Linked DNA regions of Ovis aries. The protein of the gene in region 2 interacts with the protein of the main gene of each other region in a pairwise test. Links are inferred from orthologs where the notes say so. Each region holds a gene or a part of one and is shown on either strand. Other genes may lie near its edges.

Region 1 (3,745 bases), on a different chromosome or scaffold from region 2:
AAAGTTGATCAGTGGTCTCCTTGTTCTGGGGTAGCTGACACAGTTTTCACCACTAACCTTCAGCTGCATTTTGGATTCAAAAGACTTTTGTGGCCAGCCTGGGAAGCACATCACCATTTATAACATTGTTTCTAAGGGAAACACATTCCATGCACCAAACAATGAATTTATAAAGTGTGTCTGGCTTCCAGGAGGGATGAGCTGACCCAGCTGTACCCTGAGGTATAGTTTAACCCTTAGTCTCTGACACCAAAAGGCCTGGAGATCAACTCTACAGGTCTGGAGTATGTATGTTAGTCGCTCAATCGTCTCTGACTCTGCGACCCCATGGACTATAGCCCGTCAGGCTCCTTTGTCCATGGAATTCTCCAGGCAAGAATACTGGAGTGGGTTGCCATTCCCTTCTCCAGGGGATCTTCTCGACTCAGGGATAGAACCAGGTCTCCTGCATTGCAGGAAGCCCATAGTATGTTTGTGGGGCTGGGGGAGAATTGCGATAAGAAGGAGGGAACAGATAAGGCGCCCCTCATCTGGGGTGCTCTAGGGATCCCTGTGCACTGAGAGGCCATGAGGCTCAGGGATGGCTAAGAGGGGGAGGTGAGAGGACAAAGAAACTTGGCCTCCATATTGGTGTCATGTGTGCCAGCCCGCGAAAGCCCGCGAAGTCCAAGGGGCCTTGCTCAGCTCAAACCCTTTCTGGAATAAGCAGGTGTTAGAAAACATATCCCATATTCTCTGCTTGGGGAATCCAGGGCGCTCGACTTGGGCTTCGCGGGGCAGAGTGACTGATCTCTGGGAGTGGCTATCACCGTCCAGAGCGAGCCAAGGGCCAAGACTACATCCCTTTCGGAGGTTTTGGAGAACGCGGTGAGCAAGCCAGCTCATTCTCCCCACCCTCTTACTTCTACCCCTCCACCCCAGGCCGGAAGAGGCGCTGGCAGCCTGAGCCCTGACTCGCAGGAGGGAAGGAGGCGACGCGCAGCCACAGCTTTGTCTGGGAGGGAGGGGAGAAGCCCCGCCCCCAGGGGGCGGGGGGCCGCGAGAGGAGGGGGAAGAAGAAAGGCTAGGGAAGGAGGGTGGAGGGAGCGGTGGAGAGCTAGAGAAAAGAGTAAGGGAGGGCGGTCAGATCCGATAGAGGCAGATAAAGACGGAGGGGCGGGAGAGAGGACAAGGAAGGGCGGAGGGGGGCGGGGCGCCCGACCCCCAGCTGCGCGGCTGCAGCCAGCTCTGCCGAGCTGCTAGGGATCCTGGCCCGCCGATTGCTGAACGAGCTCCGTGGCCACCCCCGCCCCCCTACTTTCCAATTCCACGGTCCCCGCAGCGCGCGCGAGATGCAGCCGGTTCCGGACGCAGGCAAGGCGCGGGGCGCGGGCGGCTGGGAGCAAGCCTCCCGGAGCAAGTTGCGGGGCGCGAGGTGTGGTGTACTGGGCGGTCCTCTCTCCCCTCGCTGAAAGTTTGCTCGCAGTGTCCCCTGCTTCTTCCGTGTCAACCCCTCAGTGCCTCGGCGCCCTCCTTTCCCAGACGCTGGGGGTTCCAGGCTGTGCGGGCTCCGCTGGGGCCGCGTAGGCGCGGAACCCCGGCCAGCCTGCCTTCTGAGGGACAAAGTTGTGGTCCAGGCTCTTCCTTCCCCTTCGATTCCCTGGGGGTTTCTTCCTTCTCTCCGCGCCAAGGGCGGCGGCAGGAAGCCCCCCACCCCCCAACCTTATTCCCGGGGTCCCCCGGGACTCCCTGGCGAGAAGTTGCCGGGCGGGCAGGTGCAGGGACGTCAGACCCCGACAGCCCGGGGGTTTGGGTGGGTGGTGGTGTCCGATCCTAATCCGGTTCTCTTCTTCCCGACTGAACCGAGGGTTCCCTGGAGGCGCGTTCCAACCAACAGCGCCTGAGCCTCCCTTGGCCTTCAGAAGGGCGTTGGACGCGTTGGGGGCCTCGGTCCTCCTTGCACTTCCCCTTTGCCGGCTCTTGGCCTGCCTCCAGAGCCTGAGGTCGTTGAGAACCTCGGCTTTGCGTCCTGTCTCACTGAAGAGGCAAGTGCCTTGGGCCGACTTCGGCCACCACTGCATTTTGAGCCCCTGCATTGCACTCAGTTCCTAAGCTGGGAAAGCCCTAGGGACAGAGAGAGACACAGTCGCCTGACAGGGAGACATGAGGCTCCATTTTATCCTGGGGCGCTCCTTGGGTCCTGAGTTATTCACTGCACCTCTGCCCCTCAGTGACAGAAGGAGCTGAGGGCCAGGCTTCTGAACCCTGCGATGCACTTTATTCCCAGGTGCGTGGAATCTGGATCCCTAGAGCTTGTTCTCCCAGAGAACAGAGTTGTCTAGAGCTGGCCAAGTTCATAATATGTACTTTACATGTGATGAGTGAATGTAGGCACCAATGAGCTGACAAATAACAATCCCTGTCACAATTGATCTTGGCACAATGGGAAGAAAGAATTAGAAACAATGATTCTTTTAAACAGCTGTGAGACAGAACCAGGGGCCTTCTTTCCAGAGCATCTGGTTGAGGAACCTGGGGTTGGATTTATTTTATTCATCAATCTACATTTACTTACTGGAAACTTTTTCTTCAGGTGGTCTGAAGAATTAAACCTCTTATGGCTAAGCTATATTACGTTGTTTGAGAAGAGGTTTTGTTTGTCTGTTTGCTTGTTTTTGTTGTTTTGTTTTAAACTTGTGTCCAAATTCAGTGTTTCAGGGACTAAAATTGAAGTCAGCCTGCGAGGTGCCCATTTGGGATCAGAGACTCTGAAGTAAGGCCATGAGTATGGGCAGCAACTGTGCTTTCTCCTCTGAACAGGTCAGCCTGATGCCTGAGAGCTGCAGCAATCCAGTGGGCCTCAGGGGGATAGAAGAGGGCCTCAAAGGATGACTGAGCTCAGAGAGGCAGGGTAGCTTTAGAAAGAGGGTAGTTCTTCCCCTGGGGTAAGGAGGTAGCGATGCCTGGGAGTCCAGCCTGGTTCAATTCAGGATTCCCTGTGCTAAGAAAGCTGGAAGGTGAATCCTGCTCCTCCTTCAGAAAAAGGGAGAGCAGAAGTGGAGTACTGAGTAGTAGATCTGTGACATGCAACCTAAACATACCCTTGTTTTTATGCTGGTGAAATCTGGTTGGAATGATGAGGACACCTTTGGGGGACCTGGTTGAGAGAAGGCCAGTGGACCAGAGCCCCTAGTCACATCCTTGTCCAGGGGAAGGTAATATGCCCTCTACACCTGGCCGAGCAGGCCAGGGCCTGCACAGTATCTGCCCCTGCTGTATTTCTAGCTGGCAGCATCCCCACCTTCCTGAGAGTGGTTTCACTCTGCTCCAGAGTCCACTTCTCTGGGGTTGTGCAGAGGTGGGACGAGATTATCAGAGAATCCCTTGGAGAGTTTGGGGAAACTGGACGATCCCAAGAGCAGTCTCAGGATTTGTCCACGTTCCTTTTCCTCTGCTCAGAGTGAGAAACTGGGAAGGTCTCAGCAGGGTTTTGGGGGATGGAATGAGACATCCAGTCTGTCTTCAAGCCATAGTTGCAGTTTATAAAACTAGAGCAGTGGTCCTTTTCTGCACCTCCTCACTAATCCCACTACTCATCACAATATGGTCCAGTTATTTATCCCAGTGACATACCGTGCCATTTAAACACTCCCTGCCTCTCCAGAAGAATTTTAAATAAATCCTTAAGGCTGGGTTAGCTACCACAGGCCCATGATTGCTAACTTCAATTGTTTGATTATTTGTGGGTTCCTATGGAGGATGAGGT
Region 2 (3,745 bases):
ACGCAGAAATCACTATTCACCTGGGGCTTCCTTTCACAAGAAACTGTCTAATGTGAAAGTATGAAAGTGAGAGTCACTCAGTTGTGTCCGACTCTGAGACCCCATGGAATTCTCCAGGCAGAATACTGGAACGGGTAGCCTTTCCCTTCTCCAGGGGATCTTTCCAACCCAGAGATCGAACCCAGGTCTCCTGCATTGCAGGCAGATTCTTTACCAGCTGAGCCACAAGGGAAGCCCTGCATAAATTCATTTAATCATGGAGTATCACGCATATACACAAATAAACACAGAGACACCATTACCAATAACAGCCCCGCAAGTCGTAAAACTATATGCCAAACGTTCAACAATTGATACAGTCCTCCAGTGTCTTTTCCACTCTTACTTTTAAACTTTTCTCGGTTTTTGCCATGCTGCACGGCTTGCAATATATTGTTTCCCGATGAGGGATCGAACCCTGCAGCGGAAGCACCGAGTCCTAACCACTGGACTAACTGGAAGTCCTCAGTGTCCTAATACAAACTAGAATTCCAGTGAAGCAGCTGTCCTGGGATTCCAGCACATTAAAACCCATTACAAAGAGGATACTGCCTCTCTATGTTACTGTCGGGAGGCAGTCAAGTACCCCAGGGCCCTTGAGGGGGCAGAAGCTGCAAACACATCTGTGGGAAAGTTGCATTTGATTCTGCTGAAGGTCAGGGCGATTTGCCGAGTGACAGCAGCCCTCCGCCCACATCACACATTTCTGTGTCCATCCCCCTTTCCTTATTAATTAGCACCTGAACTGAGTTCTGATGGTGGCGGGAGCAGAACCCACCCCCACCTCCCACACTCCTCTTCCGCTCGATCCTGGCTTCGAGTCTGAGCTCTGCTTCCCTGAAGCCAGCTGCAGTGGGGAGCACACTGAGCAGCCTCGGCTGGGGACTGCAGAGAGGCCGGGCCAGGCTTTCCTGATGAGGGCGTAATAGCTGCTGCTGCACAGTGCTACAGCTGGATGGGAGATGGGGGCTGCTGTCATGAGGGAAGAGGCTTGACTGAAAGATGCAACCCCAGGCCATTTCCAGAGAGGCTTTCTAGATGCTGTACCATCGTCTGCACTTTGTGCTTCAGATATTTAAAATACCTATATAAACACATACGCACATGGGGGTGGGTATCGTCAAATATGACCACAGCAAATATGGGGTGGGGAACAGGAAAAGAAGAAATCTATTTTTCTAGAGAAATCTAATAGGAAAAAGATCTATATTTCTAGATAAGTCTAACAGGAAAATCTATTTTTCTAGATAAATCTAATAGGAAAAGAAGAAATGAAACATCACTGAAGAAATATACACACCTAACTGCTGGAAGAGAAAAATAACAAACCCCCAAGAAGACCGCAAATGTGCTCAGAAAATCTACACAGTGGATGTCCAGTGTTTTATAGTCAGGCTTTGAGAAGATTCTGGCTCAGAGGAGGAGGCTGGAGGGACCTGAGAGCTCTGGGGAGAGTGAGACAGGGCAGGTAGTTGGGGAATTCTCGAGCCTGATGCCTGGTGCAGTAGCCAGTAGGAGGAAGGGGAGGAAGCAGGGCCCAGCCAAACATCAGAGCAGAGGGCAAAGGTCCGAGGGGCCAGAGGTGGAAGGCCGGAGAGGGCATGGATCCAGGGTCACTTCACCCTCTTCTCAAGCCTCATGGCCTCTGTCCATCCAAAGCCCAACCAGGTCTCTTCCCTGTCCCCACAGGTCACCCTGGAGGAAGGGTGTACCACAGGCAGGCCGACAAAGTTATCTGCCATTGTCCTAATAAGCAGGGGCCAAACGGTCATCTCAAGAGTAGCCTCACAACCCACTCTCAAGAAGCTACAAAAAAGCAAGAGAGGGCCCTGGAGACAAGGGAATGATCTGGTAGCATCAGGCATCAACCCCAGCCTCTGTGTGTGTGTGTCTGTGTGTGTGTGTCTCTGTGTCTCTGTGCGTGTGTGTGTGTGTGTGTGTGTGTGTGTGTGTGTGTGTGTACTGGCTGTTTCTGGAGAGGGGCAAGGCGCGCACCTGTCAGAGGAAGAGGTGTTTGTTAAATATCGCATAAGCATACCTAAGGGCACTAAGGAGCAGAGTGTGTCCAGGGGCTACCTCCCTCGGTGAAACCCCCGGTCTTCCCTGGAGCCGGAGCGGGCAGCGCCCCCTCTCGGCTCGCCCCAGCCCGCTCGCTCGCAGCCTCTCGCGGGCGGGCTGCGGTCTTCCCGCGCCCCCCAGCCCCGCCCCGCCCGGACCCTCACACTTACTAGCGCAGCGCAGCGCGCGCCGCCACACCTCTCGCCCGCACAGGTCGCACCAGCCGCGGCCGCCCCGCAGCGCCAGTTCCACGAAGCAGTGGCCCTCGCCTCGCTCCGCCGGGACGCGGGGGTCCTGCGGCTGCTCGAAGATGCTGCGCACGTCGCGGGGCCGGGGCGCGCCGGGCCGCCGCCGCAGTCTCTGCTGCAGACCAGGCCGGAGAGGGCGAGCGGGTCGCGAGGCCCGGGGCTGGGGCTCCGGGTCCCCCCGGGCGGCCCTCCGGGCACCGCGTCTCTCGTGCGCGCCTGGCGCAGTGGAGAGGGGCGCGGGGGCGCAGCGGCGCGAGGAGTGGCCCGGCGGCGGCGGCGGCGGCGGCAGTTCGGGGCCGCTCAGGCTCTGCAGATAGCGCGGCGGTTCTGGCTCCAAGAGCAGCCGGTACGGGCGCTGCCCGATGGCCGGGGACGCCATGGCCATGCCGGCGGCTCTCCGCGCTGGCGCTCCTCCCGAGTCCGCCTCGAGAGCGGGGCGGCCCCAGACCGGCGCGCCTTTAAAGGGGCCGCAGCCGGCGGGGCGGGGCGGGGGCGGGGAGACCTCGGAGAGGCAGGAAGGACGACGCACGGGAACCACCGACCGCCCTGAACAGGGGCGGCAGTGGGGGACGCCTGGGCGAGTGTGGATTCCGGGGAGTCTTCAGGTAGCCGGGGCAGCTGAAGGGTTGCACGTGGAAAGCTTCTTACAGGACAACTCGGAAGAGGCTTTCTGTGGGAGCCTCCTGCCTTCAGCCCTCCTCTCCTCTCCCATCCTTCACCCCAACCCCAGATTTTCACCCGCCAACCCCAGGTTCCCACGCCCCCAATCCACACTCCAACCCGCCCCGAGGAGGGAGCGGGCCGGAGGGAAGGGCTTAGAAACGGAGAATGGGGGTCCAGCGAGACGTCCGCCGGCTCAGAGTCGGCCCGCTGGCCTCCCGGTTTTCACGCGCCCCCCGGCCCTTCCCCTCCGGCGCTCGCCGCAGTCCGCCGCCCCCGCGCGCCCCGAGCCCGGCGCACGCAGGGGATGCCCGGCCGCGGCTCGCGGGCCCACGGCGGCTCCGAGTCCCGTGACGGCGGGGGACGCTTCCGATGCTGATGGCAGCGGGCTGTCCGCGCGCCGCGTTCACCCTGGTTGGATTTCCCCTTTCGCAGCAGCCCTGGCCGGTAGGAGAGTCCTTTCCCGGAAGACTGGAGTTCTGGTGATCCTAGGTCCGTGCCAACACTCCGGGCCCCCGTGGGTTGGGAGAGCTTTCCTTTCTAAGTCAAATCTGCCTCTCCCCATAGATGTTCTAGTAATTACTGTGGAAATACCACCACCACCCCCGCCCGCAGAAGCCCTGCTTTGCACCTGGTGTGGACAGCCCGCCTGTGGGACTCAGAGAGAGATTCCCTTCTATCAGTCCGAGGACAGGCTTCACAGCCTCCCCCCTCCTCTCGATTTTAATGCTCTGCTGTCC

What was found.
Region 1: the proteins of RASSF5 (region 2) and RASSF2 interact in binary tests that used the Homo sapiens proteins (3 or more experiments, as listed by UniProt). The link is inferred for Ovis aries from reciprocal best matches to the Homo sapiens genes RASSF5 and RASSF2.

The regions. Positions count from the first base shown.
Region 1 is NC_056066.1:46,778,042-46,781,786, reverse strand, and holds the start of RASSF2 (ras association domain-containing protein 2), read left to right. Parts: upstream 1-1,047; 5' UTR 1,048-1,108; exon of another isoform or gene 1,109-1,414; intron 1,415-1,504; exon of another isoform or gene 1,505-2,266; intron 2,267-3,745. UniProt on the Homo sapiens protein: Potential tumor suppressor. Acts as a KRAS-specific effector protein. May promote apoptosis and cell cycle arrest. Stabilizes STK3/MST2 by protecting it from proteasomal degradation.
Region 2 is NC_056065.1:4,108,578-4,112,322, reverse strand, and holds the start of RASSF5 (ras association domain-containing protein 5), read right to left. Parts: upstream 2,779-3,745; 5' UTR 2,731-2,778; coding exon 2,268-2,730; intron 1-2,267. UniProt on the Homo sapiens protein: Potential tumor suppressor. Seems to be involved in lymphocyte adhesion by linking RAP1A activation upon T-cell receptor or chemokine stimulation to integrin activation.